2 linked regions of the Bombyx mori genome follow. The protein of the gene in region 1 interacts with the protein of each later gene in a pairwise test. Links are inferred from orthologs where the notes say so. Each region holds a gene or a part of one and is shown on either strand. Other genes may lie near its edges.

Region 1 (4,007 bases):
GTGCCTCAGGTACCTCAAGTACCTAAAAGCACCGTTAATGAATCAAGTTTCTAACATAACCTTTGAAATATTAGTTAGGAAATAATAATACATCTCATGTTATCTTAAATAAAAAATCCAAAGGGTCTTAAAATATAAAAACTTATTTGTAATCACTTGAGAAACATGAAAGTTTATTTTCATTTTAAACATTGTACTTGAATACCCAAAATTTAGCAAAAACCATGCTATAAAACAAAAATAGCTAACATTTTACGACAATCACAAGTCACTGTACCCGTTAGTTACGAGAAAAATAGCTATCTTTTTAAAATAATTACAAGTCACTGTCACCGGCTACAACACTAGCTTTCTGCCGATAAAATGTTAATTAAACAATTAATTAACCAATTATTTCCACCATAAAAATACTGAGTGATAAAACAAAAATGATTCTTTTTGCGTTAAAAAAAATAACTCACAACAAGACATGACTTCCAAAATTAAATTCACAACACAACAAACAACTAGCCTATAGAATAACCGAACGACTAGTGAATGAACTGTGAACTAAAACAAACACAATAATATCTGACGTTCACTTTCCTGTACCTACTTCTTTGCATATCAGTCAATAAAATCATAAAATCACAAACCACAAAATAAGTTAAACGACTTTAAACTCAATCGTTAAGATCAGAACGTTCATATTTGATTAAAGTATATTAAAACCGAACGTAGCGGATACTGTGTATACATGACAAGAAAATAAACATTACGGGTGATAATAAAATATGTTCCTATATCATTTTCGTTTTAAAGTGTGAAAACCAATTTTTAAAGTTTTTAATTATTATTGGCGTACGAGTTAAAAATGAACAGACATAAATATATTGATGGCGGTTTTAAAAATTACAGTTTGTTTTAAACCTCTAGTTTTAAAAGTATATACTTAGTTCATGTTCTTTGTCTCTGCTGATTTATTTATTCATTTATCTTATTTTATTGCCCGGCCCCCTGCCCACCTGATGGTGAGTGAGTGCCATTGCCCATGGACTTCAGCACGTATCCCTGTTTCTTTAACATTTTTATTTTTATTTTTATTGCAATCGCATTTTTTAATTGCATAAATCAATGAACTGGCTCCTTGGTGTTAGATGATTAACTGCACCCATATACGTTACAACCTACATGCTCAAACGCAATTTAAGATAGATGAGTGCTTCTCGGCAAAAATACGTGGTCTTCGATCTTATATTATCTCATTGCGGGTATTCACATGACATGTGTGGGTTCGGGTAATCGGTAGCGAAGCTAGTGCATCACACTGTTAAATGATAAGCAGAGGTCATAGACATCATAAAATAGCGTGATTACGCCCACTTTGATATGTTATGTAAAAGTCATATCTTTTCATTAATTCCATCTATGTTTTGACGCAGAAAGAAATGATATCCCGGAATTCACCCGTACATTAAGCTCTAGCAGATGAAAAATTATGAGACAACAGGGGTTCGGAGGGTTCAGGTAGTTCTACTCGCATCCTTCACCCGTTAAATATAAGCTGCAGATGTAGTAGCAGTAGCTAGAGGTGGCTTAGGTCACGTACATACCCGGATCCCGTGATAAATATCCGGATAGACTTTAAGCACTGTAGGATTTTCCGACCTAAAACAAATCGCATCCAAAAAGAATTACTATCGAAATATAAACGAACATTGAGATTGACCAATTTACTAACAGCGTGTTCCAGAGATTTAATAACTTAATAACAATACCTAAAAGCTACATTCAAGTAACATCGTTTATATAAATGTAATTAATTCACGTACATTAAGGCTACGTGTGAAACTCGTTAATCACGGTATACCTACGTGTGCAGAATACGCCTTGACAAAAACAAATTGCAATCTTTACCTTAACGTAAAGTAAGAGCAATATCAGAAAACGTTCTCTCGTTAATACTAGGCGGGCGGGCGAATACGACACAATAATACTGTGACAAGGAAATAAGACTGACATATGGGACTTACGTGCTCCGCGGACTAAAATCGACTGCATTCGTTACACTTTAAGAAGATGCTACATAAAATACTTTTATTGTCAGTTTAAAAAAATAATGTTCTTCTTAAACGTATTATTATACACAAAACTGTTTATCGTATAAACTATTTTAGATAAATGTTTATTGGTGTGATAAATATTTTCTTCTTGTTTTGCGTTTATGTGAGTGCGCGTCTTTCATAATACGCTTCAGGCTCGCGTGCTGATGAAACTCGTGCCGTATTGAAATGTGCCTGCTTATGTTCTTGAATAGGATGTGCCACAACGCTTTGTCCTTGTTCTTCCACAATAAATCCGCAGTCTTCTCCTCGATCCTCCGTATATTTTCCTCCAGTCTCCTGGCTTTTATTTCCATTTGTATGAGCGAACGGGTCGTATTTGTCAAAAGGCGGTACAGGTATTCTTTTCTTCGTGTTTTAGTCGGCTCCGTTGCGTTCGCATTTATCATAGACTCGTATTCGATGTCCTCGGGCTCCTGAATTTCGTGCGGATTCGTGAGCTGCGATTGTTTGCTTCTTTTCCGGAGAAATACTCCCGTTAGGAACACAGCAACCACGAAACTGAATAACATGAAAAGTTTTCCGTGACTGTACGGCGGTCTCGTTGTAATATTCATCTCCGAGCGATTTTGATCTCATAGTTTAGCTGTATTGTATCGAGATAGCATTGTTTGTTTGTTTTACGATTCAAACAACGAGTCACGTGGCTTAGCGGAGCGCGAGCGGCGCCCTCTCGCGTCCTAGCCGAAAGCGACACTGAGTGAAAACACACCGCCCCACGTCGGCGTTCGCACCCTACGAATTTCCCAAATGACTTTTCGTCTTGGATGCGGGAACGGGTTCTTTATTTGGATGTGACAATCAAACAACGCCAACATGTTTAATAAGGTTGTCGTATAATTGAAAAAAAAAGTGTATTGATTATAATATTAGTAGATATATTATTTATGTAATGTTAAAGGTATGTTAAAAGTTAAAATGTGTATTCATCATACGTTCCATTACTTGGCCGTCGAGAGATGTTACTTCTTTTGTTTAACTGATGAAATAGATTACATCAATTGGCAAAATTGCTAATTAAGCCAACCACTATGCGAAAATTAGTAACATAGTAACGTCTCATGAATGTATCAAAAAAGTTCCGAGCATCCAAAATTCCCACCTTTGTCCACTTCAACAATACTCAAATTAAAACACTGTTTAAGGTAAAGGACAATGTGTTTACTTTTCATTCAAACGAGGAATATACGTAGCAATCTTTTCCAAAAAACAAGTTTAGATTTTTCATAATAAAAAATTACAAAGGGAAATAAACTCAAAGTCACCTTTTAAAAAGGAAAAATTCAGGAGGCAACTCTTTAGAATTGTTTGTCACATAAATATTATTAGCGCCATTTTATTTAAGACTCATTTACGTTGTTGACGCTGAAGACCTGATTAAGACGTCATAAAATTATTCAAAAATGTTATTATAACATTTTCCTGGAGCTTTATACATTTTCAGTGATTACTTTTACATCCAATTCTTAAAACTGTAGTACAATTGTTGGCTCTTTGTTTTTGTCACAGCATTATCGACTTACCTTTGCTTTTTTATTTTTTTTTATTGCTTATATGAGTGGACGTGCTCACAGCCCACCTGGTTGTTAAGTGGTTACTGGAGCCCATAGACATCTACAACGTAAATGCGCCACCCACCTTGAGATATAAGTTCTAAGGTCTCAGTATAGTTACAACGGCTGCCCCACCCTTCAAACCGAAACGCATTACTGCTTCACGGCAGAAATAGGCAGGGTGGTGATACCTACCCTTGCGGACTCAAAAGAGGTCCTACCATCAGTAACTTGTTTTTTGTGCTTAACACTATATAAAAGGAACCTATGAAAAATCTGAATCGTGCTATCAACAATTTTAAGTGTTCCGTTTGTATAACTACCCAATAACAACGTTCCTATGTGTGGTCTA
Region 2 (4,066 bases), on another chromosome or scaffold:
GCTCAAGAAGTTTGCCGGTTATTATACAAAGGATTTGTTTATGTTCAATCAAATAAAATTCGTTTTGAAAAACGTTCAGTGCCCATTTCAAGTAATTAAATATATTTTTTATGAGTAAGACTACGTATATTTTACTACTACACAGAACAAATATTTTAATATCAGCCAAATTATTTTTATAACATAACAAAGAGGTTTCATTAACACCCATTTAGATAATTTAGAGGGAGATCTTTGTCCCCCGGTGGGACATCCTACTAGAGGACATGCCCAATATTTTTTTAACATTATTATACACTACTATCTGTACCCGTCCGCTTCACTGGGCATTTAAAATTAACATTATTATTTCTCACCCCCACAAAGATTCACATCATTAACGCCCCCGCAACTGGTGTAGGGAGTCCAACACTCATATAATTAGCCTATCCATTATGTACATGTATTTTCTACATGGATAACAAGTTCAAGTCAATCGGATGCATGGTTCAGTAGTTATAACGGAACATCCATAAAAACCACTGTAGATTTATTTATTAAGTATAGATTTATAAAAAGTTTATTTTATTTTCCACTCACTTCTAAAACAACAATCATGAACATCCTAAGTTTGTTGTCTTGGTGGACCTTGTTGTGGCGGTGCGGGCGGCGCAGGAAGCGCCGGTGCGTCCGGCGGTTGTAACGTGCGTGTACGCCGACGAGTATAATGTTGCCATAGCAATATTGCTTGATCGTCCATGAATTTGCAAACCTTAAGGAAAATATTAATCATTCATTAATGAAGATATTTTGAACAGTACCTATCCATCAGAGTGATCTAAACACAGGCTTTATTTAAAAATTGTAATACATACAAATTATACTGCTATCGGATAAAATTAAAAGCGGTATTTGGTCAAGGGCCAGTTTGGCACAGTCATAAATTTTATATTTGGTAGAGTACAAGAATAAAGCACAGCTACTAATGAGGTGGTAAATAAAAGCCAATAAATTATAATAATATGACTTTTGCAGTAACTTGTACGTGGTCATTAACAATTACCAAATTTATATTCTTACATTCAAACTAGCTCAATTTCATTTGCATATTTTTTTTACTGTTGATTTGTAAGTCAAGCTCTGTTTTGGTTTTAAGCCCATAAACATCATACTGTGAAACCTATAAATCATAAAACTATATCAGAAAAAAAAAAGGCCAAGTAGTGTTAAGTTGTTACCTGAGCCCATAGACATGTACAAAGTAAATGCCTAAACAAAAAAAAATACAATGGCTGCCCCACCCATCAAACCGAAACACATTACTACTTCACTGTAGAAATAGGCAGGGTAGAGGTACCTACCCCTGCGGACTCACAAGACATCCTACAACCAGTAACTACACAAATTATAATTTCGCAAGTTTGATTCTTTTACTAGATGGTGTTATTCCTTAACTGTGGAAGTCAATAGTGAACATTTGTTTAGTATGTATCTCATTATAATAATTGGAACCTGCCTGCAGGATCTGAACACCTTTGTATCGCTTGATATGAATGCGTCAGGTCAGCCTGAGCGATAAGCCTTCAGGCCACAACAAACCTTCATATAAACACTACTTCAAAAACTGGACCAAGGTGGTCACGACCCTCAGCAATGAGGAAACGACAGAGAAGAAGAAGAAGAATGTTTATCAGCGGACTTAAAACCTATGGCATTATCTACCGCTCAAGCAAAGATTATATGGAAAATAATTTAGTAGGTGCAATTTGTACTCACTTGTGCCGATACACATTCTCTTCTAAATGCTTCATGTTGTAATAACTCCAAAAAATGCAAACACATGGGATACTTCAAATATCTAGCATATTCTGGCTCTCTCCAATATTGCAAATATTTAAGATAGTTTACAAAAGTTTGTTCTTTAAGATAACCTCGCTGTGCCAAAACTGTAAATAGACAGAGTTGACATAATTGACATCCATTACACATAACATTTAAAAACACTGGGCAGAAAAACATTTAATCACAAAATAGACGATTAGAAACTAAGTCACAATAACAAAATCATTAAACCGGTATGAAAAATACCTAACAATTTATTACTTATTTCCCTCTTGTGATGATTTGATGACCAACTTGATAGCTTCAGATCAGTCATCACATTAAGTTATCATTATAAGTTTCCATAAGTGTATGTATGCAGTGAGCAGCATTAGCCTGCATAAGTTCAAGTGGCAACATTTACATTATGATGTCTATGTACTCTAGTAATCATTGTATACCAGGTGAGTGTGAAGTCTAACAACAAAAACCAAAAAGGCAACTTACAGTGAATGTAATTTGGATTTGCTAAGCACTGCACAAATTCAAGTTCCACTTGAAATCTTATTCGATTCTGCTCTTCAGTTTCTGGCATTACTGCAATTAAATTAAAGATTATTAATTTATCATGAAATAACAAACTGTTAAATAAAATTATTTCATTCTTTCTTACCTTTTCCAGCCATCATTTTGAACCCGAAATATATGCAGCTGGAGTATTTAAATTATTCAAAATTAAACAAGTTGGTCAGTGGTGTACGTCTCAACAAATCTATGACCAAAATAATAACATATTTTCAGGTTACACAAGACAGTTCATTTTATCCTTATATAAATATGTGATATTTAAGATTTTATCATTACTAAAATGTTACACAGTACTTAGTAAGCTCTTAAAATTTTTAAATTAATTAAATCACATAAATAAATTTGTGTATATATTTTTTTCCGAGTCCTACACAACGTAACACAACTACACAATACTACATAGATTATACACTTAATATACATAGATTATACACTTAATATATACGAGCAATACTACACTACACATTAAGTTAGTCTATGACTATGATCATCATCCTACTTAGGCTTAATATTTGGCCTAAAGGTACTATACCTAAACTTTTTGGCGGGAACGCGATGAGTGAAGTTGTGTGATTTGTTTTATTTTGTCTATTTAATGTTTCTTCAAGTTTAAATGGGTTCCTCCAAAAAGTCCACTGAACAAACCACAGTAAATGATCACCATTTTACTGAGATTATATTTCATCCCATATTATCTCATTCCATTTAATTTCATCCCAGTTGATTAATTTCTCAAATTAATCATCTTCATTTCATTTCACTCCATATTATAATTTTTCATAAAAATAAGAATATAAATTAAAATAAAATATAACTTAAAGGTCTTAGTTAACAGGTCATAACATCCCTTAAAAAAAATCTGGTTTAAATGTTTAATAGAGCTGGTTTATTAACTGTTTAATATCTGTAAAAGTGCACAAATGTGGGAAAATAAAATATAGCCGCTGAACATAACTTCTCGGGATCCTCCAACAAGTCCACAGAAAAAGTCTCAATAAATAACCACCATTTTACTGAAATTATATTTCATTCCATATCATCTCATCTCATTTCATTTCATGCCATGTTTCGTATTAATCAGCTTCATTTATACTTAATATCATTATTATAATATTATTATATATATCAAATAGATATAATTATTCTTAAAAAATCCTGTTTATAGAGTATAAGTATATATACTAAGTTTATTCTTCTATATTAAATGAATTTCTACTAAATGTCCCTGCAATATATTTCTTGAACTTATAAATAATTATCATTTCAACAAAAACAGATTTTGTGTGCATTATATTTACATTTTTTGAACTAAGTATGAATTTAGGAATTATTAATTTTATTATAAAATACAAGTATCTTAACTATCTCCTATTGCATGGTAATGAATAGTATCATTAAAAATAACTGAACTGAAAACCACGCTAATTGTACTTTAACGACTAATTGACCGTCTTCACTCTTCACCGACATTTTTTTGTTGAATTATTGTTGAAGTTTTCAATATTTTTTTGATCCACTTATGAAATAATTAGACAGTATAAACCATAGATTATACACTTAATATATGTATAAACCATGGAGTTAATAAGTAGTAACTCTATGGTATAAACGCAGTTCTTCTTCTTCTTCTTTATTTTTGGCTCTGGCACGTTTTGTGCATTAGCCAGCGTCAAGTAAT

What was found.
Region 2: the proteins of methanethiol oxidase (region 1) and mediator of RNA polymerase II transcription subunit 31 interact in a two-hybrid assay, tested with the Homo sapiens proteins (2 studies listed by BioGRID and IntAct). The link is inferred for Bombyx mori from reciprocal best matches to the Homo sapiens genes SELENBP1 and MED31.

What each region holds. Positions count from the first base shown.
Region 1 is NC_085117.1:13,958,651-13,962,657, reverse strand, and holds the start of methanethiol oxidase, read right to left. Parts: upstream 2,801-4,007; 5' UTR 2,041-2,800; coding exon 2,013-2,040; intron 587-2,012; exon of another isoform or gene 472-586; coding exon of another isoform or gene 462-471; intron 1-461. UniProt on the Homo sapiens protein: Catalyzes the oxidation of methanethiol, an organosulfur compound known to be produced in substantial amounts by gut bacteria. Selenium-binding protein which may be involved in the sensing of reactive xenobiotics in the cytoplasm.
Region 2 is NC_085122.1:5,746,493-5,750,558, forward strand, and holds the start of mediator of RNA polymerase II transcription subunit 31, read right to left. Parts: upstream 2,801-4,066; 5' UTR 2,490-2,800; coding exon 2,474-2,489; intron 2,398-2,473; coding exon 2,308-2,397; intron 1,926-2,307; coding exon 1,756-1,925; intron 752-1,755; coding exon 605-751; 3' UTR 580-604; exon of another isoform or gene 1-579. UniProt on the Homo sapiens protein: Component of the Mediator complex, a coactivator involved in the regulated transcription of nearly all RNA polymerase II-dependent genes.